Linked DNA regions of Tamandua tetradactyla. The protein of the gene in region 2 purifies or fractionates together with the protein of the main gene of each other region. This does not show direct contact. Links are inferred from orthologs where the notes say so. Each region holds a gene or a part of one and is shown on either strand. Other genes may lie near its edges. The genes, in order: ATXN2L, G3BP1, PABPC4 and MKI67.

Region 1 (7,908 bases), on a different chromosome or scaffold from region 2:
GAAACCAGGTCTGAAGTAGTGACGTGGCACCATACCTTTAGTGGCATAATTGAAGTCAACATTTCTGAAGTGGACAAGCATGACATCACTTGGCTTAAACACCATGGTATCCACGATATCTTCCCGACGAGGACCACCTGCTGGCTCAGATGCTTTCCTGTGCACAGCATCTACTGCTAGTTCAAACTACAAAAGGCCCCATTCCCCAACACCCAGGGGTCAGTATCAAGAAACGAGAAAAACAGTTTTTCTTTTACTCTTTGCAAATTTTCCCAAAACCGCATCACATCTTTACATGTATTATATTCTCAACACCAGCCACAGGACTTAACAAAAGCCCCAAATTTGTTCAGAATCTTGTTTTTTATACTTGCAACACTATCCTGGCACAGGCCTAGATAAATGGCTAACAGAGCTATAATGTCATCCAACACCACTTAATTTCACACCCTCAATGAGTCTATTTCACTTTCTTCCTTCCATACAACTCTGGAAATAAGTTAGAGTACACTTACCTTTGAGCTCAGAGTCTTGAAGATACCTTCATAGGTGGTACCGTTTTTCACCTTTACATCACAAGTGGAACCCTGGAAAAGTAGGAAAAATAAGGAGAGTGTCTTCAGCAAACTGACTCACAGTATTTTTCAACCTAAGCATTAGGTACTCACCACAACAGCTGTAAGGAAATGCAGCATTCTGGAATTGTTGTAGACACCCTCAAACACCTGTCAGTAACACAGAAGGAAGAAATAAGAGAGGCAAGTATTTCACATTCCACCTAAATACTCCATTCACACTCACCTTCGTGTGCCCTTCTGACTATTTTGATATCTAATCTACCCTATGTTCTGACATAAGTGTCTTTTAGGCCCTTGTATCTTGGGAAAAAAGGGCACTCACCGGTGATTGTGGGGGTCCCTTTCCTGTACTCTGTCCCCTGTAAGAGAACAACACAAAAAATTAGTTATTTAAACCTCATCAATTCCTTCTTAAACCATTAATTTTAAAGGGCTAGGTATCCCAGAAGCAATTCCTTGTGACGAGGTGATTTAAGGCTACACAGCTATTAATCAAGATTTTCAAACCTCACCTCATAGAAAAAGAGGAACAAGCCTTAAGAGCCAGGAAACACATTCCCTGCAAATACCAGTAAAGTAGATCTCAATCGACCATGGTCGTCTAATTGCTAGGAGGAAGGGCCAATTTAACACCACCTTCTCACTTTCTCCACGGGCTGATGGCTGCATGCTCCTAACTGAACAAAGCTACAGTATTAGATCACCAATAACCCACCCCATATATAAAAGATGGATGTGCCCGGTTCCACATTACCTCCCAAACAGAAAAGACATCATTTTCAGCAGCCTCTTGCCCCAACCCTGGGAAGAAGGCACCCCCCTCCAGGCCCTATCCCCTCGACCTCGTTACCCATTCAGCTTGTTACCAACTCTGTGAGGTCACCAATCACCCTGCAACCCTGCTCCTCGCTGGCTGATGTAACCGGTGGCTGAGGGCGCAGAGGGGGCCGTTGGCGGGGCTGGGGGACAGCGCAGCCGCAAAAGCCTTCCACCGGGAGGCCTCGCCCGGTCTGCGCCTGCGCACTAAAACCCACAGGCCTCTTCAAAATCCCCCCTCCCGCGGTCAGAACCCACTGCGCCTGCGTGTACCGCCACTCTCAATGCCATTAAAACACATACACACAGGAGAAACCGAGAGGAGCGTCCAGTACCCATCCACGAACACCGGGAGCATTCCTCCATGCACCCTCCTAGCCCCAGTCCAAGATGTTAACCCGGGCACGCGAATGCCCGGGTCATAAGACAGAGCATCCGCGCGCACGTACAGCAAGAGCGCGCGCGCGCTGGAGGTTCCTGGCCCGCAGTCCTCCCAGTTGTCCCTCCTTCCGTCCCCCTCCGCCTACCCCGCTCCCCTCCTACTGGCCAGATCGGGAAGGGGGAGGCAGCAACCCGCTCTCAAGTCCCTCCCTCCCCATTGGCCAAACTGTGGGCCGCGCGCCCCCCTCCATTGGCTACAGCCGGGGACCCCTTTCTGCAGCTGACTCCCCATTGGCTGAAGTCGGGGACCGCGAGACCCTTCGTGCTAATGGAGCCGGGGACCCCGCTCACCTCTTCACCCCCCCCATCTCCCGGTTCCGACGGCGCTGTCGTGGGGCGCCCCGCCTCCCCTAAAGCCTCGGGTCCCGAGCCCTGGCCAGGCCCTGAAAGCTCAGCCAGGTTCCTAATTGCCTGGTGGTCGCCTGGGGACCCTTCCTCCGACCTTTGAGGACCTGAGGGGACCCACCCCTAGCCTCACGGGGGCTTCCCGGGTGCCCCCAAAGGTGGCCAGGATGGGGGGCCCGCCCCATGCGGATGTGCTCAGGCCCCTGTCGCCCGGCCGGAACCGAGCCGTCGCCTCCTCCCCTCAGCCTCGGCTCCCCCGCCCGGAAACCCACCCCTCCTCACCTGGCGCTGCCGATGGCGGTTGCCCCTGATCTCTCTTGATGCTGCGGAGGCTGCGGCGTCAAGATGCCCTCGGCTCCCCGGCGGAGCCCGCTCCCGGCAGCGGCTGCAGGCCCCAGGCAGGGGGAAGCCGTCGCGGGAGGTCCGGGCGGAGCCGAGCTGGAGGCCAGCGGCCCCGGGACGCCGCCGTTGGGAGGGCTGGTGCCCCCGGGAGGCCGGCGGGCCACGGCCTGTTGCGTGGGGGGCGGCTGCTGGGACTGGGAAGTCTGTTGTGGCGGCTGAGGCTTCAACATGATGGCAGCGTCCGGAAGGGGAATTCGGGGGAAGGGAGGAAGAGAGGGGGCCGGGGCTAGGCTCCCGCCGGAGAGCGCGGGAAGCGAAGGGGGATCGGGAAACTGGGGGCCCGCCGTTGGCGGGCAAGGGGGAGCCCCGCGGTGTCGGGGGTGGATAGAAAAGACCGCGGTACGAGCAAGCGCCGCGAGGCGGAAGGGGAGGGGGTCTCGCGGGCCGGAGGAAAGCGAGAGGGCGCGAGCCGGTCTGGCGCGCGTGCGCGTCGCTGGGGAAAGGGGAGGGGAGGAGCGCGCGGGCGGGAGCTCCCTAGGGGAGGGGGGAGGGAGCGGCGGCACGAGATGCCAGCGCGCACCGGGGCGGTTAGCTCCGGGCGGAAGAGTAGAGGAGAGGACAAAATAAGGTGAATCTCGCGCCCTTAGTCTTGGAGTGGGGAAGGTAGAGCGCGGACGCTCACGCGCGACAAGGATTTAAGGTCTCTAGGTCTCAAGCAACCCTAGAAGCTGGTAGCCGCTGTCGCTTCACAATGAGCGTGTGAAGCGCTGGGGGAGGAGCCGAGGAGGCAAAGGAAGAGCCGGCCGCCCCTCCTACGCCGGCTTCCGTAAGGTCGTGATGCCTCCGCAGTTGTGTGAGATGTCTCCACGTTGCGTGAGATTCTTCCGCCACATTGGGAGGCGGGGGCCGTGGGCGGAGTCCTAGGTGCAAAAGAATTCCCGGGACTGAACAAATTGCGGGGATAGGGCTTTCGAGCAGGTGGTAGATTTCGTAATGAGCAGCTCTTATCCTATGCGTTAAAGAATGACTGATGGGACTTAAAGGCGGTTTTAGCGTCCTAATATTTGCAGATAAACTTATGCCTAATCCTGAATTATTTTAAATTTAAATTATTTTACATCTAAATAGTTTCTCCGCGCCTGAGAACGAACCCTTAAGCTGCAGTAACAAAGAGTATGAAGGTCAAAATTCCTAAGGTTTAGTTCAAAACTCTGCTCAGCCCACTGACTCGATGATGAAGGCAGCATTCATACATTCAAAATTGGGCACTAGGCTACATGCTTTGAAAACAATGGTAATTAAACCACTTCCTGCCCTCAAGAAGATCAAACTTCATGTTTATAGCCAATTAACTTTTGACAAGGGTGCCAAGTCCACTCTATTGGGGAAAAATAGTTTCTTCCACAAATGGTGCTGGGAAAGCTGGAAATCCACATTGTAAAAGAAGGAAGGTGGACTCCTGCCTCACACCACACACATAAACGTAACTCAAAATGGATCAAAGACCTAAACATACGAACTGGAATTATAAAACTGCCAGGTGAAAATTTGGGAAGCATTTTCAGGACCTAGTTTTAGGAAATGGTTTCTTAGTTTTATACTCAGAGCACAAACAAAAGAAGAAAAACAGGTAAATGAGACCTCATCAAAACTTTTTGTGCATTTAAAAACTTTTGTGCATCAAAGGATTTCATCATAAAGTGAAAAGACAACCTACACAATGGGAGACAATATTTGGAAATCACATATCTAATAAAGGTTTAATGTCCAGAATATGTAAAGAATTCCTGCAACTCAGCAATGAAAAGACAATCCAATTCAAAAATGGCAAAAGATGTAAAAAGGGATTTCTCCAGAAAAGATCTATAAATGGCCAAAAAGCACATAAAGGTACTCAATATCATTAGCCATGAGGGAAATGCAATCAAAACCACAATGAGATACCCTTTCATACCCACTAGAATGGCTACTATCTTTAAAAAATGGAAAATAGCAAGTATTGGACAGGATATGGAGAAATAGAACACTTCATTGTTGGTGGGAATGTAAAAGGATGTAGCTGCTGTGGAAACTAGTTTGACAGCTCCTCAGAAAGTTTAAGTATAAAATTACCATATGACCTGCAACCCCACTTCTAGGTATATGCCCAAAAGAATTGGAAGCCATGAAAAAAAACAGATATTTTTACACTGCTGTTCATAATGGCATTATTCACAATTGCAAAAAAAAAAAAAAAAAAAAAATGGAAGCAAAGCAGGTGTTCCACAACCAATGAACAGATAAACAAAATGTTGCATATATATGTACAATGGAATACTATTCAGCTGTGAGAAGGAATGGAGTTCTGATAGATGCAGCAGTGTGGATGAACCTTGAAGACGTCATGTTGAGGGAAAAAAACCCAAAAGAATATTGTACGATTTCACTTATACAAAGTAAGAATAAGCAAATTTGTAGAGTCAAAAAGTAGAGTAAAGGTTACCAGGGCCTGGGATGGGTGCAGGGAATGGGGAATTAATGCTTAATTGGTAGTTTCAGTTTGGGATGATGGAAATATTTGGTAATGGATGGTGGTGATGATAACACAACATTTTGAATGTAATGAACACCACTGAATTATAGAATTGAAAGTGGTTTAAAGGGGAACTTTGAGGTCGTGTATACGTTGCTAGAATAACATTGAAAAAACAACAGTGTAAAAAAAATAAAAACAGCAGCAAAAAAACAAACCACAAACAAAAACAATGTAGGACCGTACAACACAATGAATCCTAATGTAAACTATGAACTGTGGTTAACAGTACAATGATAATACTCATTCATCAGTTGTAACCAAGATACCACAATAAAGTGTTAATATTTGGAGGGGGAAGTATGTGGGAACTCCGGAAAACTACAACTTCTCCAATAAAAAATGCATTAAAGAAATAAATTTTAAAAATTCAGTAAAAAAAAAAGTTCAACCTAGTTGTGAATTTAGTTAGATGAAACTTAGTAGGAGATGCATAGGACACTTTGAGAGTGGATAGCAGTGACTTTCAATTCAGCGCTGGTGAATCTACACTGAGAAGGTGATGGGGAGATGGATTCCTAGGCAGAGGGACTAGAATGCAGCAAACTAAGAAAATTCTTCTGGTTGGAGCGTAACATGAAAGAAGGGTATTAAAAAGAGAGAGAGAGAGAGTAGAGGTAGGTAAATTGTAAAGGTTGAAGTTGGAACGAAGTAGTAAAGGTCCCTAAACCTAGTTAAAAGATTTGGACTTTATTCTCAAAGCAATGGGAAGCCCTTTTTTTGAAGATGAAAAGAGATCAGGTTTGCCTTTTTAAAGGATTACCCTTTACAACGTGGAGAATGGAGTGGAGCAGTGATGGGCCTGGGATCTTAATCTAAGTGAGATTCTCAACATCCCACTCTCTCCTTGTTCTGGCATTAGCACTGAAACTCTTCCCGACTTCCGACCTCCTTCTCACCCCTCGTCTCACAGCCAAAAGTCTGCCTTACTTTTTGGAAAGTCTTCCTGCACCTCTACCTCACTGCCAGCTTCCAGTGGGCAATTTGTCCCCCCTTTCTCTAATAGCTCATTTAATTCTGTCTTCCTGCTAGTGTCAGCACAATGCAGACAGTTGATGCAAGGGGACTGAATCAGAGTGGTATTTTAAAGATCTTATGTCTCCCGGGTGCCTAAATAACAGACTTCACCTTTTTCCTGGCTTTACCTCCCCCGTCTGGTGCCACACCACCACTTCAACACTTCTTGCCTCCCACCACCACTACCAACTGTGTCCTGCCTCCACATTCAAATTCTAAGTTTTAGTCCCATTAAATTTCCATTTCCACAACATGCCTTACCTTTACTTACACGCACTATTTCTTCATCTAGAATTCCCTCCCTGATTCTCTCTCTATCTCATTCTTCAAACTCCAGTGTCAACCCTTTGGAACTTTCTGTTATTTACTTCCTCCTCTGGGCCCCCAGAGCACTGTGTTGCTTTTCTTTCTGTCTCTGCTTTCCTTTGGAGTCCAAGGTCCTGAAGAGCAGGGACTGTATTTCACTCATTTCTCTATCCCTCTGGCCTAGACTGGCTGGCACCCAGCCACTTAATAAATTGTTAGGTGAACAAATGGAATGTTCTTTTATTGTATGCAATTTAAAAACTCTACCGCTTGGTTCCTAAATCAGATAAGCCCTGAAACCCAGAGATGCCAGTCTCTCCAAGAACATCAGCCAGTTCCCTCCCCCTACCCTGTATTGTTGATACCCATTCCAACATGAAAAAATTAGAATGGGCATAACCCAAATATCCCTAAAGATTGGGAGAAGGATCAAAGCAGAAGAAGGAGTTATAACAGAGAAGTTAGGATTTCCCACATGAGGATGACTAATAAAAAGCAGTCTCCAGTGTCTTGGAAGAGCTAGAAGGAAAAACCTGAAATTGTGGAACTGTAACCCATACCAAACTTGGAAATATGTTCTATAACTACTTGATAAAATGTACTTCAAAATGTATTTTTTTGTATAAATGTTGTATTTCATAATGAATAATGTTAAAAACAACAACAACAAGAACTCAATCGCTATGATCTGCTATGGAGTGATTTCCAGGATATATTAAGTGAAAAAAAAAGTGCAAAAGAGTATAAACTATGCTAACTTTTGTGTAAGAAAGAAGGGGAAATAAGGAAACAAATGTATCTTCAAAAAAACCAAAACAACAACAACAAAAAAATAAACAACAAAAAAATCTCACTTAGATTAAGATCCCAGGCCCATCGCTGCTCCACTCCATTCTCCACGTTGTAAAGGGTAATCCTTTAAAAAGGCAAACCTGCAAAAGAGTATAAACTATGTCAACTTTTGTGTAAGAAAGAAGGGGAAATAAGGAAACAAATATATCTTCAAAAAAAGCAAAACAACAACAAAAAACCACAAAAGGAATAAACCAGAAACTAATAAAATCGGTTACCTATGGAGGGCAGGGAAAACTGGAACTCCCTGGTTATTGGGTTTCACTCTTCTTGTTGAAGGAGACAGCAGAGCTACGGTTGAGATGGACAGACATTTTTTTGTGTATAGATTTTCATATAGTTTTTTTTTTTTAATCATTTTTGTTATCTTCATATAGTTTTGACTTTTCACATTCTGGTAATGATACGCATATTAAAAAATTATATCAACAAGGATGAGAGGGCCCCCAAACATTGAAAACAGATGTGAACAAATGAACCTGATTTTGTTTCAGGTGAATAAAATAACCACATTGATGGGGGGTGGCAGTAGAACCAATTCAAGTCACTTTCAAGTGAGGCAAGATAGAATAGGGCATCGAAGCTGCGCTCCCTGGTTTCTTACCCAGCTCTGAAGGAGTTAATGCACAACTGCAAACT
Region 2 (7,525 bases):
TAAAGCCTGCTCTTGAGTTTTCACATGCAGATTATTTTTAGCTCTTCACCCAGTCTCCAAGTTTAAAAGTCAAATTTCTCTAACCAAGGCCAGACAGGGTATCTAAGAGGGCATTAAAAGAAAAAAAACCAGCAAACTGAATTTTGAGTATTTAAAACTATAAACCTAGTTAACTTCCAATGTGATTACTGACTAAAAGTTAGGTTACAGTTGCAAAATCTAAATTTAACTCCAGGCCTGGAAGGAGGAGTACAGCAGTTGGGTTTTTTTTTTTTTTTTTTTAATCTACCTACTTTTGACAGTGATGCCCTTTTGTAAGGTTTCAAGACAAGTCAGTAGGAATTTTGGTCCTAGGTAGCCTTAAACCACACATAATTAAATGAACACACAACGCATATTTGAACTCCTAAACACTATTTTTTAAAAACCAACCTAATTATAAAAAGTAAGGAAAACACCAGATAAGCAGTTTTGTAAAACTAGCGCGCACACACACAAGCCACAAACTCATGCTTTATATTAAATTTCATCTTTTAACATTGGCTCCCAAGTATCCTCTAAGAACTATATATAATTCCCAAACCTATAAAAAGTGAAAGCTAATCTCTGCTTTTTATGCTGACCTTTGGCTTTCTATACAAAATACTAAAACAAGTAAACAAAAAAAAAAAATTGCTAAGTAGGTTACCAACATGACCAAATCTTTTGAAGTTCCCTTAGTAGACTGTCAGCTGAGTGTAGGTTAAATAAAGGACAAAGACCTGCCTACATTTTTCTACTTGTTAGAAAAGTACAAGAGCTCAAATTTGAAAACATTTTTTAACTCTTAACAAAAATAACATGACTTGGGGAATAGGGAGACTCAAGTCTTGTATTACCACAACCTGCTTCAAAATTCACTTGTTCGTGATAAATTGATGCACAAAAGATCAACTGGGGTACCATTTGTAAAATATCATTTTTAAAATTTCTGCTCAACTAATAACCATTCCTCTGAGGGCAAGAATAGTACGTTTAATATTTAAAGGAGAAACTAACAAAATTCCCCTCAATGCATAAGGCAATTTCAGTCATTTTATCCCAAGCATTAATAAAATTAGTTGGACTCAAATTAAGTAGTCTAAATGTAGGTCATTATAGTATTCTAACATTTGATAACTAAAACTTAAATTTCACATCTTAACATGTCTTAAAATACTAATTTTGTAGTTAACTATTCTCTAAATGTAGGTCACAGGAATTGCTACATAAAATCATGCGACGTAGAACAATGTTATATTTCAAAGCAAACTGTTATTTGTGGCAACATCAACTAAAGGCAAGATCTTGCCTGTATACTTTGATCCTTTATCTATTGCTAGTTTCTACTAAGAAACATGGGAAACAGTAGTATCAATTTCCAGAGAGACATTTATTAAACTTCCTCCTTGTTTTTAATTTATTTACAAGGATATGCAACACTATGTGTTCCCTCTGACTGCAAAAACCATTTATTTAAAACACCAATCTTAAATGTATCTGGTCAAACATAGCAGGATAGATAAATTTCTTGAGAGAAAGAGGTAGATAGAAAGAAAACAAAGGAAGAGATAAAAAGAGAACAGTTTGAAAGCTATTCAATTCAAGCCTAGTTCAAAAGAGAGTCCTAAAAACTTTACTATAGTTCTGTCTCAAGCAGAGGCATTTATAATGCAAAGTAACGATGTGGACTTGAAACTTAGGAACATTTATTATTTCATTAGCCAAGGAGTATACTGGCTTCAAAAAAAATCTAATACAATTAATTCTACAAGAAAAATATAAACACATTTCCTTAAAGGCAAGGCAGGTAGGTGCCTTCCACTCTGCTGCATATGTGAGAGCCCAGCAGGGTAAATGCTAAATGCTGAATTGAATATAGGCAAGCAAGATTCCAACTGCCACAAGGGTATGACTTCCAGCACATCGCAATCACCGGTAATTCACTCAGTATTTTAAACTCCATCCAGCTCAAATTTATCCTGTAACTGGGAGTCGTTCTTTCCATTCCTATTTCAAATCTTAACCCACACATGTTGGTGAAATCTGAAACTCACTGGTCTAAACGTCATTTTCTTCAACTTTAAAACAAGGAAGTTAAACTATCTTCTCAAAGGTCTTTCTCAAAAGTTTGCTCCGATTTAAAAAAAGAAAAAGAAAAAAAATTCGTGTTCTGCTTAGCAGATTCTAACTTTCTGCTGGCGGGAATTTCCCATTACCACGTTGAGTTTGATACCTGACTAGTAACATAGTCCACCTTGATTTGCATTAATTCACTTTTTCCTACACTTTCCAGAAGCTGTTAGGACAGCACAGCTATAAACTATCTACACAAACACACGTAGAAAGGAAGCCCAGACCCCTTTTCTTTGTCATAATCCCACTTCCAGCCCTTGTCTGTCTTCCTGAAAGCCATTATGTGGCCTTAGTGCAAATGCCGCCGCAGTCTTCTCGGCAGTTGGCCTTTCCAAGCTGCGGTTGCATCCAGTGACCAGTGTTCTGGGTGCAAAGGTGACCTGGGACCGCAAAGAGTATTAGAGCAAAGAACAAAATGAGCTCAAGACTAGGAGTGAGACAGCTTGGATTCAAAAAAATAGCTGTCCCTTACCGTCCGTATCTCTGACCATGTCCGTCTACTTCTGCGTCTCAGAGTCCACCGTAAATTGCGGGAAATAACTGTATCTACCTCTTGGGTCGTTGTGAGAGTTACACGAAATGTATACGACCTGCTTAGAACAGTGCCCGGCACACAGCGAGGGGTACAAAGAATTCTCGGTGTTGTTAGCGCTATCCATACACGCGGCTGCTCCCTCATTACTCCTTGTAAAACCAAGGCGCAGCGGCACTTCTGCCTCGCAGGTTATCGCACTCAGCGTCGCCCCCACCTCTGAAGAAAAGTTCCCTCCTGGGCCAGGCCACGGGGCCGCGCGGGGCCCCAAGGACCCCGGAGATGGCCCCAGGCCCGGGCGGCGACTGCTGCTCGCTCCCGCCTCGCGTGGCCGTTGGACGCGGCACGCGCACGCGGCGGACGCGGCCCCGCGCGCCAGGCGCGGGAGCGGGGCGGGGAAAGGCCGCGCGCCCGTCCGATCGCCTCGCGTGCCTGCGGCCGTTGGGGTGGGGGTTGGGGGACGCGCCCCGCGCGGCCGCCGTAAGTGCCACTAGCGCTGCTCCCTTTCACACGGCCCCGACCCGTCCTCATCCTCGGGCGGCCCAGCCCCGCCCAAACCCCGGTGTACCTGTGCGGCTAAGTGGGAGAGGAACAAGCTTTGCTCCACAGCAGGGCGGATGGCAAGAAATCTCTCACGCAACTGCGTCCGCACACACGCGTGCTCCGCCGCCGGTCTATATAAGCACGACTCACCCTAACTTGTTGCGGCCAGCTCGGGCGAGCCGATGACCAATCCCTAATGCGTCCTCTGGTCTCTTCGAACCACAATTGGGTACTGACTCAAGGTGAAGGCGTGATTCTTGATTGGCTTTGACACTGGCCTATAAGGCTGTGAGGATCCGGTTTCCCTAGTAACGGATTGGCACTAAGAGAAACCAATAACTAAAAGGTACAGTGGAAAGGGGGGCGGAAGTTATTTGACCGATACCCATAGTAACCAATAAGTGCAGGGAACTACTCTCATTCGTTAAAACATCTTCCTCAGGGCGGAGATCCGTTTTCCAGGCAGGAGCGGTTGCTCCACAAGGTGGAGCCCGTGTACTTTGGGGAAGTAAACCCCAAGCAACTAGATGGTGGGCGCTGGGGCGTCCAAGGGAGACCCCCGGCCAATCGCAATGCGGAAAGGAGCTGATTGACGCGGGGCTTGGACTGCTCCAAGGCGACCAAGGCGACCAAGCCCTAGGGCCCGTGTGCGGCGCAGGGCGGTTGTAATCCTTTCCTGGCTCGGGCTTCGGGTCTTTCTTTCTCATTGCATGGTCCGGCCCCCGAGGCTTCCGCTCCCACCCTTTGCGCATAGCTTGATACCAGAGGAACAAAGTGGTAAAGTTTCCGGTTAGGTATTTTTTCTCCTTTTTATTGCAACTGTCTTTTATTTCCATGCAACACCCTGAGGATCCTCGCTGGCTCTTATAGTTAGTCGACATAATTGTTGGGCAACAGTTACAGGGAAACAAGAAGTAAGTAACTCCTGTTGTGTCTGTAAGGTAATACAAAAAGGTGACGTGTGAAACTGTTAAGTTTGAGAGCACAGATTTCTACCCCGTTGCCTCTTGGCAAGTGCTGCTGTTGGCCTGCCCAATCAGAGGCTCGTGGGTGTTTTAATCAGATTTTCCCTTTTTGTCGTTGCGGAGGAACGGTAGTTTGCAAATGCTCGGATCAAGTTTGGACCTTGATGCAACATCCTGTGCGTCACCGCCATTGTCATTCCTCTTTTAATTGCAGGGAGGCGGGGGTGGGGGGCGGGAGGAAATTTTGCTGTTTTCTTCGTGTCGTGGCTCCTTTAAAAGTTAAATTGTCAGACTCCTAGATGGACATTCCAAAGATTTTCCGAAATACTTAAGGGGCCAAGTGACGCCCCAGCCAGGTTCTGCCCCGGTCTCTTACCATTTTGTTGTGCCCTCTCTTGGTCACCATGAGCGTTTTATGTGGACATTTGTTGAGTTCCAAAGCGCAGACACGCCCCAGTAATTTCTCATTTCAGCCTTGTGCCCATCCAGAAGGGTCTCCCGTTAAGTTTTACTAAGAAAGTTGGAAGTGAAGTAAGTTGAGCGTCGTCTCTGTGGGAGGAGAGAAGACTGAGCTGGGCCGGCCCAGCCCGGGCTGGAAGGAAAAAGGGGCGCCCGCAGCAAGCAGCCTAGCGTGACTGGCCCTGTCCTCTTTGGACCTCCCGAGGCCAAGCCTGGCCGCGAAGACTGGAGACGCGGGGAGGCCACAGGAGAGATAGAAAGAGCACCTTCTTGGGGGTTGTGGTCCCACATCTGGTCCTCCAAGGTTCCGCTCCCGTATCAGCCTCGCTCATCCAGCATTTATTGAGCGGCATGGACTGGGGGTCAGGAATGATCAAGTCGTTGTCCCTGCTTAACCTCACCCATTCAGCAGACTGGGGCTCTGCGTTTGGGGCAGGAGATCCCAAGACGGAGGAACTGGCTGGCAGAGGAGGGAAATCAGCCTAGAGGAAAGAAGTGGCTGAAATTTTCTGAGCTAAGGAACCTCTAAGATCATGTAGCTCATAGTAAGGAATCCGGACTTTATTCTGAGGGCAGTGGAGAGCCCCTGGAGGATTTTTTAAAGTGGGCTAAGATTTGCATTTTACAAAGATGACACTCCAAACTGAAACTCTAGTGAGCCCAAATTGGCAAAAATTTACAGTCTGGCATCTACTGGATAAAGCTCAAGGTTGAGAAACTCTCCTCTAGGAGATTAATTTAAGTTCTCTAAGGAAAAGTCCCAAGCGTCCTTCTGCTCTTGATCTCCATTGCCAAGCAAATTCTACAATCCCCTCCAATATACTACCTCACTCTTCTCTTTCTGCCAGTCCTCCCCAAAGCTCTGAAAATCAGAGGGAGTGGAAGCATGCTAAGACCCAGAAAACTTAGTCTGATGGAAGAAGTGGAAGGGTGTGAGAAATATTAAAGAATGGCCCTTAAAACATCATCTGGATCAGTGTTTCGCAAACATAGCTAATAGTTTGCTAAGCCTTATGAAAAACGTGTGTGCGTTCATTTCCCGGTGCCTGCCTCATGAAAAAAAAAGTGTGTGCTGATGGCATCTATGGTCTGTGACTTTATCTCAATAAAATTGCATTAAAGCAAATGTGTGCATGTATGAGTCTTAACTGTTAAACTCTCACCTGTGGGTAAGAACCCAGTATAATAATATTCATTGCAACACTGTTTCTAGTAGAAAGAGGAAACAGTCCACATCTCTAGCAATATGAGATTGGTATAGATATAATACAACACAGTACACTCTTACAATGGACTGTTAGGCAGCCACACAGAAAACAAGATATACCTATATGTATGGTTATAGAATGATCTCTAAGAGAAATCAACACATGAAGAGAGCAAAATATAGAAGAAATATAGAAAAAAACATTTGTGTAAAAATGGAAGAGTAGCTATGAGGTGATTATTTCTTTTGATACACAGTGTTGCTATAGTTATTTATTTCTTTGATTTTGCTGTGTCTGCATAGGTTATGTCCGAAAGGAGTCTCGAGAAACTGTTACTAATTGCTAATAGGGAGGTAAACTTGGGCCAGGAAAGAAGAAACTCTTCCTTTCCATTCTATAAACTTTGGTACAGTAAAGTTTTGTTTGTTTGTTTGTTTGTTTTACCATGTGCATGTATTTTAAAAAAATTTAATACTGGCACAAGGAACTGCAAATATGGAAACTTTGATCTTTAAAACAAACCAACCAGGTGGAATGCCACACTTACCTTTGTAGGTTTTGAGGGTTTTGAAAATGAGGCTTCCTTCCTCCACTCACTGAATTCTTTTTTTTCCACTCCTTATTGTACAAAAAATCATACCAAGATCCAAACAGATCCTTATTAACTTGGAAATACATGCCTAACTGGATTACTTCCTCCTTTGGCACTGTCTGCAAAGGCTTCACTTCCTCAAATCCTATGGAGCACACATCATGAGCCTGGCACTTCGTTGATATTCTTTACAAAGATGATCTCATTTAATCTTCACAACAGCCCTATTTCCCATTTCTGAAGTACGAAAACAGGCTGAGACCAAATCAAAAGGGCAAGTCCTTCATCTTGAGGCTTGCTCTTGTGAAGCTTATGTATATAGCAGAGAAGCTTAGCCTACCTATCAGTATACCTAAGAGCCACGTCCAGAGGCCCTCTTTTGTTGCTCAGATGTGGCCTTTCTCTCTTTAAGCCCAATTGTGCAAGTGAAACCATTACCCTCCCCCCTATGGGGGACATGACATCTAGGGGTGGATGATCCCCAGGGATGAGCCTGGCCCTGGCACCGTGCAATCAACAATGCTGTCCTGACAAAAGGGGAAAAAATAAGGTATCAGTGGCTGAGAGTTCAAATAGAGTTGAGAGGCTACTTTGGTAGTCACTCTTACACAAGCTTCAGTTAAACATTGCTACCTTTCATAACTTGCCAAACCCCAATCAAAACCATTCCTGCCAATCCTAAAGAATACCTAGGGCATTTCATAAGATTCTACAAAGGTTCCACGCACTAGGGTAACCTTCCAAAACCTACAACCTCCAAATGGGTCCCTGGACCAGATAAGTCCTGAAATACAGAGGGGCCAGCCTTTCCAGAACATCAACTAGTTCCATTCCCCTATCTCATATTATTGATAGCCCTTTCAACATGAAAAAGTTAGAATGGGTATAGCCCAAATATCCCTAAAGAGTGGAAAAAAGATCAAAGGTGATGGTGGAGTTATACAGAGAAGGTCAGGTTTAACAAATGAGTATGAGTGCTGAATCATTATACTTGTTTCAGCCTCCAGTACCTTAGAGCAGCTAACAGTAAAAACCTAAAATTGTGGAATTGTAACCCATACCAAACTCTGAG
Region 3 (7,371 bases), on a different chromosome or scaffold from region 2:
TTATCACTTATAAAGGGTTTTGCAGCCTACCCACAGTAGCTCAGGTGGGACAGTTAAAATTATCCCTATCATAGACTGAGGAAACTCCTTGAAAGGATGGTTTCTGCTTAAGGTGATGATGCACGTGGGCCCCGCACCTAGTAGGTTCCTGTGTCTTCTGAACCTGAACATCTGAAAAGTGCTGAAGCCTTAAGCTGAGTTCTGTGTAATTCCAAGATTTCAATGCCCTGGTGCTCACCCAACCAGTTCTCCATCCAGTGCCCTGGGACTTTTTCTCAGCTTCCCAACCAAGACAATGTTTGCACCATTTAAAGGACCAGAACCTAAATTATAATCATCTGCAGCCGGATATACTTGTCTTCAACAGCAGCAACAAGGACACCCAGAGCTGGTGCCACTTTTCCAAACTTACACTATTATCTCATGGCAGTGACTTCACTAAAGCAATAACATCACTTAGAACTTCCATGAGAAGATTCACACAGCGTCAGAGTTGGGGAGCTTTCTCCTACTTTAAAGCATCCATTCGAGAACATTTCACTTAAAAGATAGACAAAATTCCCTACCCACCCCTCCACAGGCTCAGCTTTACATCAAGTCAAGGGAATATCTTTTTTTCCCACTTATTTCCAACAATCTTTCCCACATCTGAGAAAGGCAGCTTGCTCAGTTATGAAGGGGAAGAGAAGATGGCAGTACAGAGCCATAGAAAAAGCCCAGGTATAGGACTTTGCTTGTGATAATTTTCTGTGATACACAACTGGGAAGCCCAATTGTATTTTACTAATAAGCAGTAAAGACACCCATTTCGACCCAACTACTCTTCTATTTCCAGATAGCACTGCAACAAGGCAAGTCAGCTTAGTCTGACAAATCTGGCTGCACTTATTTATAGCAGGGAGAGGTCCTGCAGAGGTATGTGTTGGCAGAAACACTGATCAAGCTTCTGCTACTATCTCCAAGTGACAGCACTTTTGTTCAGAAGAGGTAAGAAGGCAGGCAAGAAATAATGTATATACCCCCACTTCCTCCTAAAAAGGCCACACCCTCAGACACCTTCTCTGTACTTATGTGGCCAGAGACAGAACTCAGCTGAGTACACTGAATTGACAGTACGCGGTGCCTTGTCTCACTTCAACCCAGGCCCAATTCCCTGCTCTCAGCTGCATCCTAGGAAAGTTACATTCTCTGTATTTGCTTTATGGAGTGAACAAAGTGGGGACAAGAGTAGGGAGCTGGAGATCCTTGCCATAGAATGGCTTATTTCTCCCAGTAAGGGCTCTGCAGTTGTTCCCTTTTAATCTGGAGTCACATGCAGCCCCTGATTGGGTTTCCTTTGGCTTCACTCCTGCCACGCCTGCAGCGTATCTCTCCACTGCTCCAGGCTAAAGTCACAATCTGGGGTAGACTGAACCTCCAACCTTTTGCAGTCCCTTTTTCTTCAAAGGAGTCTTATTTCCCTTCGGATAGGATGAAGTGAAAGATGTTTGCACAGTGTAAAATGCTCTTCACAGCTGAGGTGATAATGCCCACCAGCCCCAGCCACCAGACCAGTGGACTTTCAGGTGGTGCTTCCCCAGCCTAACTAGCTAACATTCTCCACAGTCCAGGGCATGTCCACAGCAAACAATTCCTCCACCCCTGGGGCAAACATGCAGGATAGAGAACTCGCCTGGCTACCAGCTGAACACATGGGTCTGGTGGTGCTAGCACATGTCCCTGTTTAATCCACAGATCTGTTCCTCTGCTTCCTATCTGCCCTGAAAGACCCCTTATCAATATCAAATCAAACTGACTCTTAAGGCAAAGGTGGGGGAGGGGTTAGTAATTTTGCAATCTAAAATTTTTGCAGCGAATTGGGTTTCATTCATCCTACCTTTTTGGCAGGCTTCTGAGGGGCACAAGCCCATGTCCACTGACTAGTACAAAGTCTCTGAAGGGCCCACTCAAGCAGGACCACACACACACAATGGGCTGACAGTGACTTCACTCTGCTCTCCTTTACAGTCTTCTTGGGTTCCAACCCCACCTCACCACTAATTAGCCCAAGGTCACCCAGCCAGCCAGTACGAAAGAAAGATTGAAACTGATGCCAGGTGCCATGTTCTCACCTCTTTCTTTGCCTCCAGCTCCCACTTCAACTTCTGCACAAAATGATGTTTGGATTCCCCCCACCCCACCCCTTCCTGGGAAGTGGGGCGTGCCTAGAAGCTAACTCCCTGGGTCTCTGTAGACCCCAAGATTTTGTGGACAGAGCTCCTACTCACCGTCAGCCGGCTGCTGGAAGTTGACGTACGCATAACCCAGGGAGCGGCGGGTGATCATGTCGCGGCAAACCCGGATGGACAGTACAGGTCCCGCAGGACTGAACTTTTCATAAAGCATGGCCTCAGTGACGTCCGAGTGCAGGTCACCCACGTACAGGGAGGCCATGGGGTAGCTGCTGGCTGCAGCGTTCATCTCCCCACCCCCCACCACCCCGAGCCCCGCCAGGACTTCTTATACGGACCGCCACAAGACAAAAGAGGCTCTTCTCTGAGCCGTAGTCTGCGCTGCGGCTCACAGGTGGCAAGTTAAGCTAAGAGAAGCTGGAGTAGGCTCCGATATACAGGAGCTTGGGGAAAGCTCGTTGGAGAGACTCTGCAAAACCTCAGACAAAAGGCTCTCAAAAACAATATGGCCCTCCCTGGGGGGGTGGGGTGATGGTGGAATTTTCAGCTGTCCTGGTTTGAACCTACAAATTTCAAAAAATATGACGACGGGAATCTCCTTCCGAGTTAAACACAAATTCTCCAAGAGGCAATCAAACGCTGCCCACAGCGGCCTTCGGGACACGCGTTTCTCTATAAATATAGGCCTCGGGGTCCTGGCGGTTTAAAATTACAACAGCCAGGGAAGAGGGAAACAAAATATTCGTCCGTGCGACTCCGCAAGCCCCAGGCGGACGCTGCGCGCAGCCGCCTCCCACGCCGGGCTCGGGGAAGGGCAGCGCCGACACGTGGTGCGCCGGGAGGCCGGCCCGCAGGAAGCGAGGGGCAGCAGGACGCGCCGCGGAGCCGACGAGCACCGAGGCTGCCACGCGGCGCGTGCGGACAGGGAGGGACGCGCGGCGGGCCGGACAGACGGACGCGCGAGGCTCACAGTGGAGACGCGTGGAGGAGGGCGGGCCCGCGGCGGGGAGCGCACAGGCCCAGGCGGGCAGGCACGGGCGGCTCACCACCGGACCGACAGACGGAGACGGACGCGAGATTCCGGCGGCGGCGGGCGCGGGGCAGGCCGGAAGCGTGCAAAAGTGACTCCTCGCAGGTTCTCCGAGAAGGATTCGGTTTTTTTGACGTTTTTTTTTAAGATTTTAAAGCGTTTTCGTTTTTTTTTTTCTTTTTAATCTTTTTCTCTTTTTTTCTTCAGGCTGCTGGGCCTGAAAGCGGCGAAGGCAGCGGCGACCCGGGGCGGAGAGAGGCGGGTGGGGGAGCCACCGCTCCATTTATACCCGCCCGCCCCGGGCGCTGCTGGTCGAAGGGCGCCTCGCGACCTGGGCGCAGCCGTGCCCGCCCACTCGGCCCGGGTACCCGAGGCGGGACGGTCACGCGAGAGCGACCCGGCGCGTCTGCGCGGCACCACAGCGACACCTGGCGGTGGGAGGACCGCGCTGCCGCTGGCCGCTCCATTCCGGGCTCCAGGCAGAGTGGACCTCAGGTATCCTGGTCCGGGCTTTCACCAGACCCAAGGACTCCTTTGCATAATAAATATATTACAATCCCCCCACCCCCTTTAATCACCCGGGAATGGTGATTAGATAATATAACCCTTAGATAATATAACCCACCCACACGCATAAAATTAAAAAATCAATGTAAAGGATGAATACTGTATGATATTACTTATTTGAAATAATTAGACTATGCAAATTCATAACATTAAGAAACTAGAATACACGTTACCAGGGGCTGGGAGGGAGTGGGGAATAGGGAATTGATGCTTGATTGGCTTGGAGTTTCTGTTTGGGGTGATGGCAAAGTTTTGGTAATGGATGGCGAAAATGGCACAAGTTGTGAATGTAATTAATACCGTCGACTTGTATAATTGAAAGTGGATAAATGGGAAATTTTTGGTTGTATATATGTTACTAGAATAAAATTTTAGAAAAAAAATAATAACAGTGCAGGGGTGCGAGCATAGTTCGGTGGTAGACTCTCACCTGCCATGTCGGGAGACCCGGTTCGATTCCCCGCCCATGCACTTCCCAAACAAACAAAGAAACCAACAAAAACAAACAAAAAATTCAACAAATGGTGCCGCCATAACAGGATAGTCACGTGGAAAAAGAATGAAATGTGACCCCCGCCTTACAGCATGCAGGAAAAAAAAAAGGACAACACGAAGAGTGAACCTGAAACCAAAGATAAACTATGGACTATGGGCAATAGTATAATAATTTTTTTCATCAATTGTAACAAAGCTACCACAATAATGCAAAATGTTAATAATAGGAAAACTGTGGGAGTGGAGTTTATGGGAACTCTGTACTTTCTGCTTGATTTTTTTTTCTGTAAACCTACAACTGCTCTAATAATTTTAAAAAGCTAGAAATGACCAAAAAAATGTAATGCCTAATTGGAAAATAAAGATGAAATAAAATGATTTACTGAAAAAGACTTAAGGGTGCATGGGTGGTTCAGTGGCAGAATGCTCGCTTTCCATGCGGGAGACCCGGGTTCAATTCCCGGACCATGCACCTAAAAAAAAAAGTTAAAAAAAAAAAGAGGTAAAATAATTTCCAAATAAATAATAAGTGGCTCAGTATATAAATATTTGGGGCCCCATACTCAAGAAGACATATGGAAATTCTCAGAATCTGGGACTTAAAGATAGAATCGTCCAGAATGTGGCAGCTAGAAATGCAGTGGTTTCTGTGGGTAGTGTGATTTGCTGAAAAGATTAACAGATTTTGGTAAAGCTTCAATAAAACAAAATATGATTATCCCTCTATTTACATGGTAATGGCATTCCTGTAAATTTAGTTTCTATTTAAAGGCACAAAAATATCTTCTGTTTCCATGTAAAAGGGAGTTAGTGCCTAGGCTCCTGTAATTATAAAGAGAGTTTTCATCCACCTGAGATCTGGCAGGTCACTTGAAAGTTGTGGGATATGAAACAATTCTATGGTATGTGGGACTGTCTCCATGCCTAGCAAACTATATAGCATCCCTTCGTCCCTAAACACCAGGAACTCTCCATTATTTTTTTTATTAATTTTTAAATTAAAAAAATATATATTACAACAAATGCAAACATTCTTAACTTATGATCATTCCATTCTACATATATAATCAATAATTCTCAATATCATCACATAGTTGCATATTCATCATCATGATCATTTCTTAGAACAGTTGCATCAATTCAGAAAAGGAAATAAAAAGACAATAGAAAGAAATTAATGCATACCATACCCCTTACCCCTCCCTTTCATTGATCACTAGCATTTTAGCCTAATATATATTTTAACATTTGTTCCCCCTACTATTTATTTTTATTCCATATGTTTTACTCATCTGTTGATAAGGTAGATAAAAGGCTCCTCCATTATTTTGAGAACCAAACCCAGAAATTACCAAAAGGCATGCAAACTCACTGAAAACTACTGATCTAAGTAAATGAATGAAGAAATATACATATTTATATATTCATTCATTCAAATAAATAATCAGGGACTATACTCTATGGCAGTGCCAGCTATAAATGCTGGGGGATACCATAGTAAATATGACAGATGTGGTAGGTTGAATTATGTAACCCAAGGAAAGCCATGTTCTTAATCTTAATCCCTATTCCTGGGAGAGTGAGCTCGTGTATAAACAGGACCTTCGAAGATGTTATTTTTAGTTATGGTATGGCTTAGTATAATCAAGGTAGGCCATAATCATTGTTACTGGAGTCCTTTATAAGCAGAAGAAATTCAGACACAGTCAGAGAAGGCCACAGAAAAAAGCCACAAGTTAGTGGAAACTGGAAAAGCAGACACAGAAGAAAGAGATCACCATGTAATGGGAGGCAGAGATGCAAGCCAAGAAACCCTAAGGAATGCTTAAGTAAGCCAGCGTCAGAACGCTACAGACTTTGGGGAGAGAGCATGATTTTGAACTCCCAAAGCCAACTCATTTGTTCTAGCAGCCTGGCAAACTAAGACAGGAGGGAAAGTCTTCCTATAAATAGGTCCCCTCCTCCGGGGAGCCTTCCCAGACTGCCCAGTCTAAGGTAGTCTGCCACTGTTAATTATTATCACACCATCCTGTCTCTTTGTCTTCAATGCTCTTATTACTACCTGAAATCACAAATTACATTGTGTGTATGTGTGTGTATCTGTTTAAAGTGCCTGTCTTCCCTCCACTGGTATATAAGCTTTGTGAGAACTGAAACCTAGAACCGTGCCTAACATGGCACAAAGCTCTATTTAAGCTTTCAATAAATATTTGTCAAATAAATGAAGGAATGCTGGGCACTGATGAGCAAATGCCTTGATTTGAATTGCATTTTTATGAAAACATCTCTGGTTGCAATATGGAAACGGTTTAGAGGATGGGTGTAAGGGGACATGCAAGATGATGGCAGACTAAGGTAATGACCATGGGGCGGGGGGGGGGGGGGGGCGGAAGTGGTTTGGTTTAAGAAATAAGTAGACAATAAAAATTGTAACTAATTAGATGTGGGAGGTGAGGGATTGAGTCAAGGAAGGTCCCTAAATTTCTTGGAAATCAAAACATTTACATTTCCTACAACTGACACAAGATTATCACTTTGTTTTAGAGGGGGGAGATATGTAAAGCCACCAGAAGGAGCCTGGAGTCCAACCTGCAAAATTAAACAATACCTGATTAGGGCTCAATGTTGGGTAGGAAGAGACTGAACCAATAACCAGGCCAGTGATCTGAAAGTGACTGGCCTAGGCAGGTCAGTACGAATCTACCTTTGCTGGGATTGGGCGTAAAGCTTCAATAAGAGCTTTTGGGGGTGGAGTGCTAATATTTTTTTCACTGGGGCAGTCTACTTTCAGAAGAACTCTGTTCTTCAGAGATGACATGAACATATCAAAAGAAAGAATGTGTTTGGGGTTGGGAAGAGGAGGAAAATTCCTTAAAGGCACGTTTGGGTCTGATAGGGAGATGGATGCAGGTCTCTGAAGCTGAGGCCTCAGAAAGAGAGAAAGATAGAGAGTGAAAGTGAAAAGGATAAAGAAAATTTCCTAACATGCCTGGCTTATTTTTGCTATATTTCACTTCTACAGTAATCACTGTACCCTTCTAAGAAACATCCCACCCACTTTTACCTGAACCTCTCTGAGTGGCTTTCTGTTTCTTGCAACCAAAAAGC
Region 4 (7,966 bases), on a different chromosome or scaffold from region 2:
CGATGGACACTTATGAATTGGCTTCTAAATTACAAAACCTTACATAAAAATATATTTCATCATTGCTATATAGTAACTAAACTTACTTCCATTTGAGACTGAAATGTTCAGGTTTTTTTTTTTTTTATCTTTAGAAGGGAATGGAAGCTATGGAAAGTAAACAGCTACTTTTAGTCAAAGAACAGAATTTGGTTTTTAGATACAAAACCATCCCAGCAAAAAACAGACTGAGAATTTGTTTGGCAGGAAATGGCTAACAATCACTCTCTTTCAACCATTTCTCAAACTCCGGGCTGTGGACATTTGGGGCCACACGTATCTTTGTTGTGGGAGCCGCCCTGCACACGCCATGTGGTTTAGCAGCATCCCTGGCCTCTACTCCCTGATGCCCAGTAGCACACCTTCCCCCACTGCAACAGTGAAAAATGTCTTCAGACCTTGCAAAATGCTTCCCGGAGCCCCACATTGCCCTTGCTAGAGAACCACTGTTACATGCTGATTCCAAATGCAAATCTACTGAACACTTTACAGAGTGCTAAACAGTGACCATCTCAAGATGCCAGATACCACACCAAGCACTGAATACATAATTATTAACAAGACAGGCCTCACCCTTGGGAAATTCTGTTGAGTGGGAGAGACCAAAAGCACTCATCACTGGTAAAGTGGCTATGCAGGAAGAGAAGTGCTCACGAAAGGCTTCTCTGAAGCGACATGTAAACTGTTATCTGAAAGCGGGAAAGCAATCTCACGTAGGTGGGGAGGGAGAACATTCTAGGCATAAAGTCCATACTGTCCAAACCACCAAGCTGAACGTGAGCCTGGTTTGCCCAAGGAGATGCTGACTTGTGGCTGGGGATGGGCTGGGAGCACCAGGTAAGATGGGAAGGAAGTCAGGGGCCAGAGCACAGAGCTCCACGGGAGGGTGACCGTTCGATAGGATGGGCATAAACTCCGATGGTCCCTGATGAACTGATAAACTGTCCCTGATACATGGGCATCTACTTACAGGCTGCAAAACCAATAATTCTTATTAGGTAACGTGCTCTCTCAGTCCTCATAACCTAACGAATTAGGCAGCACTATCTCTTTCTTCACAAACGTTGAGGTAAATGAAGAGGTGAGAAGTAGCTTGCCCTGTCTAACTCTGGCAGTCTGATTTCTGGGGCCCCACCCCAACCCCTTAACAGTTAAGCTACACTACCTCCAAAGTGTTGTGCATTTTGGTCATTAATGGAAGCCTCAGAGCCGTTCTCAACAAGGAAACCGTATTAAAATTAAAAACTGCACTGGCTACAGTACCAAGAACAGACTGTAGAAGAAAAAGATGCAAGAAAAAGCAGTGAAGAGGCTATTGTGATGGTCCAGTTGGGAACTGGGATGATTTGGGAAGAGAGGTTAAACAATTATCCCCCTGCAGTTTCCAATCTCTGTGGCACTAGCGGCTGCATGCCTACTTTCTGTTCCATCTGAGAGAAGCAGAAATGCGAGATGTATTTTAGAGACAATCTGACATTAAGTATAACCCTACTTAAAAGACAGCAAAAACCTTAGACGTCTGTAAGACAGCTAACCGCAACAACCACCAGACTGGACATGGCTGTATCCAGATGTGGGGATATGAGAAACTGCAGTTCTAGGGCAACCTTTTACTTTTTCACATTTAAGGAAAAAAAGAAGTTCTTTACCTGAGGAATTTTAAAATGTAGACTCGTGTGATATCATATAGCAATGGAAATTCTGTCAATTCTGTCATTGAAAGCTGAGCATGAAAATCCAGTTAATAGCGCCACCAAAAGAAAAAGGCAACCTTACAGGAAAACTTATCAAAATACAAGCAGCATGACTTTCCCATGCTCATTTTTTTTCCAAAAAAAACAAGGAGCCAAACAGAGGCTCCTTCCTTCTCCACCCCAAAGTGTGCCCCGAGAGCCAGGGGCAGCGAGTCAGGGCTTCACACCACCCAGCTGCCTTCTCAGGACTGCGTCAAGGGCACCAAATGTGAAAACCTCTATCCTTCTCCATCTCAAGGCTTTCACCAAATTAAAACACTTAATGTATTTTCAAAATCTCATTTGGTAAAAAACAATTGCCAAATTAAAAGAACAGAGGAAGTACCGAGCTCACCTTCCAAATAAGCAGGTTTCCCGCCGCAGCGGGAAATGGGTACCGTCGATCCCGCTCCTTTTGATGACAACGAGGTGGCACAAACGACTCATTTTCTAAACTATATGCAGAGCACGGTCCATACAGGAGCGTCAGGTTTTACAAGGTTTGTCAAAAAACGATTTACCAATAACTCTTTCACCGCAAAAACTGAATAAAACAAAAGGAGGGAAAGGTTACTCTCAAAGCAAGCTTGCTAAGAAGTCACTTTTTAAGAGACAAATCAGAGGCCCCTGGATGTTAACCAAAGCCCCCGCTGCCCGAACCCGCGAGGGTGCCCCCAGGCTGTACCCCCTACCCCCGAGGGCGCCCCCCCGGGCTGTCCCTCCAGAGAATGCCCTCACGCTGCCCTCCCCCATCCACCGCAGCGCGCTCCTCGCCCCCACGCTGTCCCCCGAGCGCAGCCCCAGGCTGTCCCCCAAAGGCTCCTCGCCCGCCAGGCCCCGAATGTGGGCCCAGGCTCTCCGTCAAAGGCGACTTCGCCCACCGGCCCCAGAGTGCGCGCCCACGTTGCTACCCCTCAGGGAGCCTCGCCCGCTGGCCCCCGAGGGCGCCCCCAGCACCGCCCTGGGTCGCCCCGTCCCGCACATCGCCCACCCAGTCAACACCCTCCGAGAGCGCCCGAGCCCCTCGCCTTCACCGGGGCCCACCCGGGACCCAGGAGCCAATGGCACCAGAGACGCCGCGCCACGAACCCCGCCTCGAGGCCCCCGGGCCGGCTCACCTAGACCGACCGCGGCCCGCTCCTCCGGGCCCGTCACCGCCGAGTCCGCCCGGAGCCCCAGCCGCAGCCCGCTCGCGCCACAAAGCGCCGCACCCCGGCTCCGCGGCCGGATCCCTCCGCGCGCCCGCGCGCCACTACCCCGAGAGCCGCGCTTCCTGTCGTTCAAATCCAAACAGCGATTCGAATTCCGGCGCTAAGCGCTGTGATTGGGCGGCGCGGGCCGCGGGCCGGCCAATGGGGACGCGGAAGGGCGGGAGGAGCGCACCGGGCGAGGTGGGGGAACCCAAGTTCGAGGGGGGCCCGCGACCCCGATGCTCACGACCGCCTGGGGTTGAGCGTCCGGGGAGAACGTGGTATTCTTGTCCTGTAGAGGAAAACCTAAAAACACCGAACGTGGGGCCTGATCCCAGGGCGGAGATAAACTTTCCTGCCTCGTCTTTTTTAGGGCCCGTACGCGGCGCCCCTCCTTGCTACAAGGCTAAAATGTTGAAGTCCAGCTTCCCTCGCCGGTCCCTGCCTCTCCCGGAAGAGAACCAGTTATTTCCCGCAGATTCTTGTGTATTTTCCCAGCATGTAGTCTCTTTTTCAACATTACACAAAAGAGCATATACACATTATTCTGTAGTGTTCTCCGCTAATGAATCCTGAGGTCAGCTCCTGTCAGCATAAACTCGGCTTCTACTTTCATTTTGACGCCTGCACACCATTTGCTTAATTTACTTGATCGTGCCATTGCTATTTCGGTTTATAAAGCTTTGCTACTAGAAACAATTTTACAATTAGAAAATCTTACGTGACCACTGGATGAATCTTAAAATAATTATGCCGAGTGGAAAACAAATCCATGCTGACTGATCCCATTTATATAAAACTGTAGAAAAGGCAAACTAGTCTATCGTAACAAAGCAGATCTATAGTCCTTTGGGGGTAAAGGGGATGGTGGAGAGAAAGGAGGGGGAAGTATAAAGAGGGCTGAGTAAACTTTTGAGGGCAATGGATATATATGTTCACACTTTTCATTGCAGGGATGGTTTTCACAGATGTGTTCAGCCTAACCAGATTTCACATTTTAAATATGTGAAGTTTATTGTACATCAGTTACATCTCCATAAAGCCCCTTTAAAAAAAACCAGTGCATGCTGGCAGGCTTTGCTGAATACAGGAAGGCAAACTCCTATCAACAAATCTGTTGGGTCAGAAGACATGCATATGTAAAATTGTTACGTTTATGACCAAACTTCTTTCTAAAAAGTTTGAGCTAGTATCTTCTTTCCCCAGTAAGGTGCCAGAGTGTTGTTTTCCCTACAGACCAGCTCAAGTATATTGATGACGATCATTATTATTTAATTGATGTCAATCTAAGAGGCAAAAAAACGAACAAAAAAAAGATGAGCTGTTTGGTTTCACGTCTTTTTTTTTTTGGTGAATGAGATGTTGGTGTCAGTATTCGTTTCCTGCAGCTGCTGAAACTAATGACCACAATGTAGAGCCTTACAAGAACACGAATTTATTATCTTCCAGTCCTGGAGGTCAGACGTCTGAACGAGTCTTTACTGGGCTAAAATCGAGGTGGACTGCTGCATGTCTCATGGAGGCTCGAGAAGGGAGTCCAGCATTTCCGGTTGCTTTCCTGGGCTCCTGCAAGCCTCTCATCTCTAAAACCTGGGGCTGCGGGTCTTTCTCCTAAATCATGCTGACTCTCTCTCCTCTTTCACTTACAAGGACCCACGTGATCACATGGGATCCGCTGGAGTTTCCCCTCAAGGTCAGCTGATTAAAACTTAATTCTATCTGCAACCTTAATTCGCTGTTGCCATGTGACATAACACAGTCACAGATTCCTGGGATAGATGTGGGCAGTTTTGGGAATGGGAGAAGCATTATTTGCTGACTGCAGTATCCACTATATTTGTTTTACTTATATGTTCTATTTTCCATTTTCTCTTATTTTTGTCTATCTTTTTACTTAAGTTTTTCTTAAGGAAATTAACTCTCACATGTACTGTAATTTTCTTTCTCTGTTGGCATTTGCTTTTGGTTCAATTAATAGTCCTTTAAAAATTGTTATACTTAAATGTTATTGTGTCCTGCTTAGGAGAGGCCTGCCCATTCCAAGATTATAAAAATAACCTCTCTGAATTACATTGTAAAAGGTACCTCTGCCTTTTGCAGAAAAACCAGATGGTAGAGGTGAGAAGCAGGCAGAGACCAATTGGGAGACCCCTGCAGGAGTCCAGGGTGGGTGGTGAGAAGGGCGGGTTGTTGGATCTGAAGTGAAAGGAGAAGTGGCAGGATTTGCTGAGGAATCAAATGAGCCGGGGGGGGGGGGGGGGGGGGGGGGGGGAGTCAGGGATACTGCTCAAGAGTTTTGGCTTGAGCAACTGGGTGGGTGGCAGTTTTGTTTACTCAAAGGGTCAACCTAGGGAGGGTTTTCGGTTGTGTTTTTCATGTCTTGTGTGTGTGTGTATGTATTTGAGTGTGAAATAATCATGAGTTCAGTTTGCGTTTGAGCCCCAGCAGTTGGATATATGTGCCTGGAATTCATGGGCCCAGGATTGAGTTATGGGTTTACTAGAGTGCTAGTAAGCAAAGGGTTCAGGGTTGGAGCCTGGGTGCCCTCTGGCTGCAGGGAGAGAGCAGGATTCAGCAAAGGAGGCTGAGAACGAGCAACCAGTGAGACAGGAGGAAAACCAGGAGAGCTTGTGCTTCAGAGAAGAGGTAGGAGGGACAAAAAATGCCATGCTGCTGAGGTGCTGGGTGACATGCGACGGAGACGCGACCTTTGGCTTTGTCAATTGGAGGCCACTGGTGACCATGACATGAAAGTGGCATGGTGGGAACTGGTTGGAGGGGACTCCTGGGAGAACGGGAGGGGAATGAGAACACTTCTTCCCGGGAGTTTAGCTGTGAAGGTCAATGAGGCACTTGCTAGAGGAAGCTGGCCGTCCAGGGAGAGCTTTGTAAGGATGGAGAGAGGTTCAACATTCAGTAACATGCTTATGTATATAGTTTTACGTTTACATTTATGCTGTCTTTACCTGTGAGAATGAAAGACACACCTTGAAGGCAACAGGGGAAAGCAGAATAAAATTCCTTAGTATTTTGAGGTGTTTTCTTTACGCATACAGTTTTGTTCATAATTTTCACATTGTGCATAATATTTTCCTACTGTGCTTTTTAAAATTTTTTCATTAACTCAAAAAATTGCACAGACTAAATTGAGCTCTGATTTTAAAAATCATATGAGTTTGTTTCTTCAAAATAACAGACTTCCTAGATGAACACACTGCTTTTTATCTTTCTGAGGCCCTTGGCTCATGTTATCCCTTCCTGCCCCAGAGTCACTCCTGTCTTTTTTGTTGTTTTCTTCAGAGACTGTGGGGGCAGCCTGGTGGCTTCCTTTCTGGGTGTGGTCCAGGTGGGCATACCGGCCAGCCCCGGGGGGAACAGCGGCCCGCCACAGCGGGAAGGACGCCCACAAGGGACTGTGCGGGGCCTGGCGTGAGAAGCCCCTCCCCACCCCCAGCCCAGGCCTGAAGGGTGAAGTGGGGAGTTAATGAAATTGACTGCTGGGGAGGACCACCCACCACATCCCACAGGTGACATTATGGGGACTAAGTACCTCCACCTGACTCAGCCCACAGGTGATTTCCAATGGCCCAACCCCCTGGGTGCAGAAGGTCATAGCCTGGGAATGGGGCACTAAGAAGCTACCCAGCAGAGTGGGTGAAAGGGCCTGTCTATCTCAGGTTAAGGCTGGCGCAGGGGGACTGGGGAAGGAGTGGGTGGCCCAGGATTGCTCCCTGGGGCTGACCAAGTGGGCCAGCATGGTGTGGTCCTGATGGAGCCCGAACATGTCCCCGGCAATGCCCAGCTCTGCTGATTTGAAAGATGTGTGTCCCCTAGAAAAACCATGATTTAATCCTAATCCCATTTTGTAAAGGCAGCCATTTCTTCTAATCCCTATTCAGCATTGTATGTTTGAAACTGTAATTAGATCATCTCCCTGGAGATGTGATGGAATCGAGAGTGGCTGTTAAACTGGATTAGGTGAAGACATGTCTCCACCCTTTTGGGTGGGTCTTGATTAGTCTCTGAAATCCTATAAAAGAGGAAACATTTTGGAGAATAAAGGATTTGGAGAGAGCAGAGCAGAACGACGTAGCCACAAGAAGCAGAGTCCACCAGGCAGTGACCTTTGAAGATGAAAAAGGAAAGTGTCTCCGGGGGAGCTTCATGAAACAGGAAGCCAGGAGAAGAAGCTAGCAGATGATGCCAGGTTCGCCATGTGCCTTCTCACTTGAGAGAGGAACCCTGACCATGTTCACCATGTGCCTTTCCAGATGAGAGAGAAACTCTGACTGTGTTCGCCATGTGCCTTCTCACTTGAGAGAGAAACCCTGAACTTCATCGGCCTTCTTGAAAGAAGGTATCTTTCCCTGGATGCCTTAGATTGGACATTTCTATAGACTTGTTTTTTTAATTGGGGCATTTTCTCACCCTTAGAACTGTAAACTAGCAACTGATTAAATTCCCCTTTTTAAAAGCCATCCCGTTTCTGGTTTATTGCATTCCAGCAGCTAGCAGACTAGAACACCACCCTATCCATCGCCTTCCTCCCTCTCATCCACACTCCTTGGAGCTGAGTTTTTGTTGCTCAGGAGCGGTGGTTCTCCATGTGTGTGGCGGGGGCCTAAGGGTCTCCCATATCCTTTTGCGGGGGGTGGGGGGGGGCAAAGAGTTCAACACCATGTTCCTAATAACACTAGACATTGTTTGCCTGCTTCGCTCTCATTCTCGCACATGCGTACAGTGGAGTTCCCCAAACGCAGGTGCAGATGGGAGAATCCAGGTGTCTTCTAAAGAGATTTGCAAGAATGGAAAATAATGCCCCTCTTCTCACTAGTTTTTCTAGGATGTTGGTTAATATAGTTATTTTTTGTAAAAGTACACTTTTAGGGTTGACATGAAATTGGGTCATCATTATATAAAATGAATTATTAAGTAAATACTTTAAACATTCCTCTGTTTTAGCTTCAAATGGAGTTAAAGTATCAATGGACATAATCCACATAA

Evidence for each region.
Region 1: the proteins of G3BP1 (region 2) and ATXN2L purify together in Homo sapiens (affinity purification with mass spectrometry; 4 studies listed by BioGRID and IntAct, with this or other methods). This does not show direct contact. The link is inferred for Tamandua tetradactyla from reciprocal best matches to the Homo sapiens genes G3BP1 and ATXN2L.
Region 3: the proteins of G3BP1 (region 2) and PABPC4 purify together in Homo sapiens (affinity purification with mass spectrometry; 4 studies listed by BioGRID and IntAct, with this or other methods). This does not show direct contact. The link is inferred for Tamandua tetradactyla from reciprocal best matches to the Homo sapiens genes G3BP1 and PABPC4.
Region 4: the proteins of G3BP1 (region 2) and MKI67 purify together in Homo sapiens (affinity purification with mass spectrometry; 3 studies listed by BioGRID and IntAct, with this or other methods). This does not show direct contact. The link is inferred for Tamandua tetradactyla from reciprocal best matches to the Homo sapiens genes G3BP1 and MKI67.

The regions. Positions count from the first base shown.
Region 1 is NC_135349.1:25,006,736-25,014,643, reverse strand, and holds the start of ATXN2L (ataxin-2-like protein), read right to left. Parts: upstream 3,011-7,908; 5' UTR 2,753-3,010; coding exon 2,463-2,752; intron 1,864-2,462; exon of another isoform or gene 1,844-1,863; intron 1,824-1,843; exon of another isoform or gene 1,761-1,823; coding exon of another isoform or gene 1,702-1,760; exon of another isoform or gene 1,698-1,701; intron 1,609-1,697; exon of another isoform or gene 1,429-1,608; intron 1,412-1,428; exon of another isoform or gene 1,356-1,411; coding exon of another isoform or gene 1,333-1,355; intron 938-1,332; coding exon 901-937; intron 726-900; coding exon 669-725; intron 588-668; coding exon 516-587; intron 187-515; coding exon 36-186; intron 1-35. UniProt on the Homo sapiens protein: Involved in the regulation of stress granule and P-body formation.
Region 2 is NC_135346.1:32,603,266-32,610,790, reverse strand, and holds the start of G3BP1 (ras GTPase-activating protein-binding protein 1), read right to left. Parts: upstream 3,009-7,525; 5' UTR 2,834-3,008; coding exon 2,627-2,833; intron 1-2,626. UniProt on the Homo sapiens protein: Protein involved in various processes, such as stress granule formation and innate immunity. Plays an essential role in stress granule formation.
Region 3 is NC_135328.1:185,798,837-185,806,207, reverse strand, and holds the start of PABPC4 (polyadenylate-binding protein 4), read right to left. Parts: upstream 2,890-7,371; 5' UTR 2,800-2,889; coding exon of another isoform or gene 2,753-2,799; 5' UTR 2,461-2,752; coding exon 2,268-2,460; intron 1-2,267. Other genes in the region: uncharacterized protein LOC143658260, read left to right, coding at 2,753-2,799, 2,890-3,306, 3,409-3,775.
Region 4 is NC_135339.1:90,698,010-90,705,975, forward strand, and holds the start of MKI67 (proliferation marker protein Ki-67), read right to left. Parts: upstream 3,004-7,966; 5' UTR 2,891-3,003; intron 2,317-2,890; 5' UTR 2,220-2,316; coding exon 2,128-2,219; intron 1-2,127. UniProt on the Homo sapiens protein: Protein that associates with the surface of mitotic chromosomes and acts both as a chromosome repellent during early mitosis and chromosome attractant during late mitosis.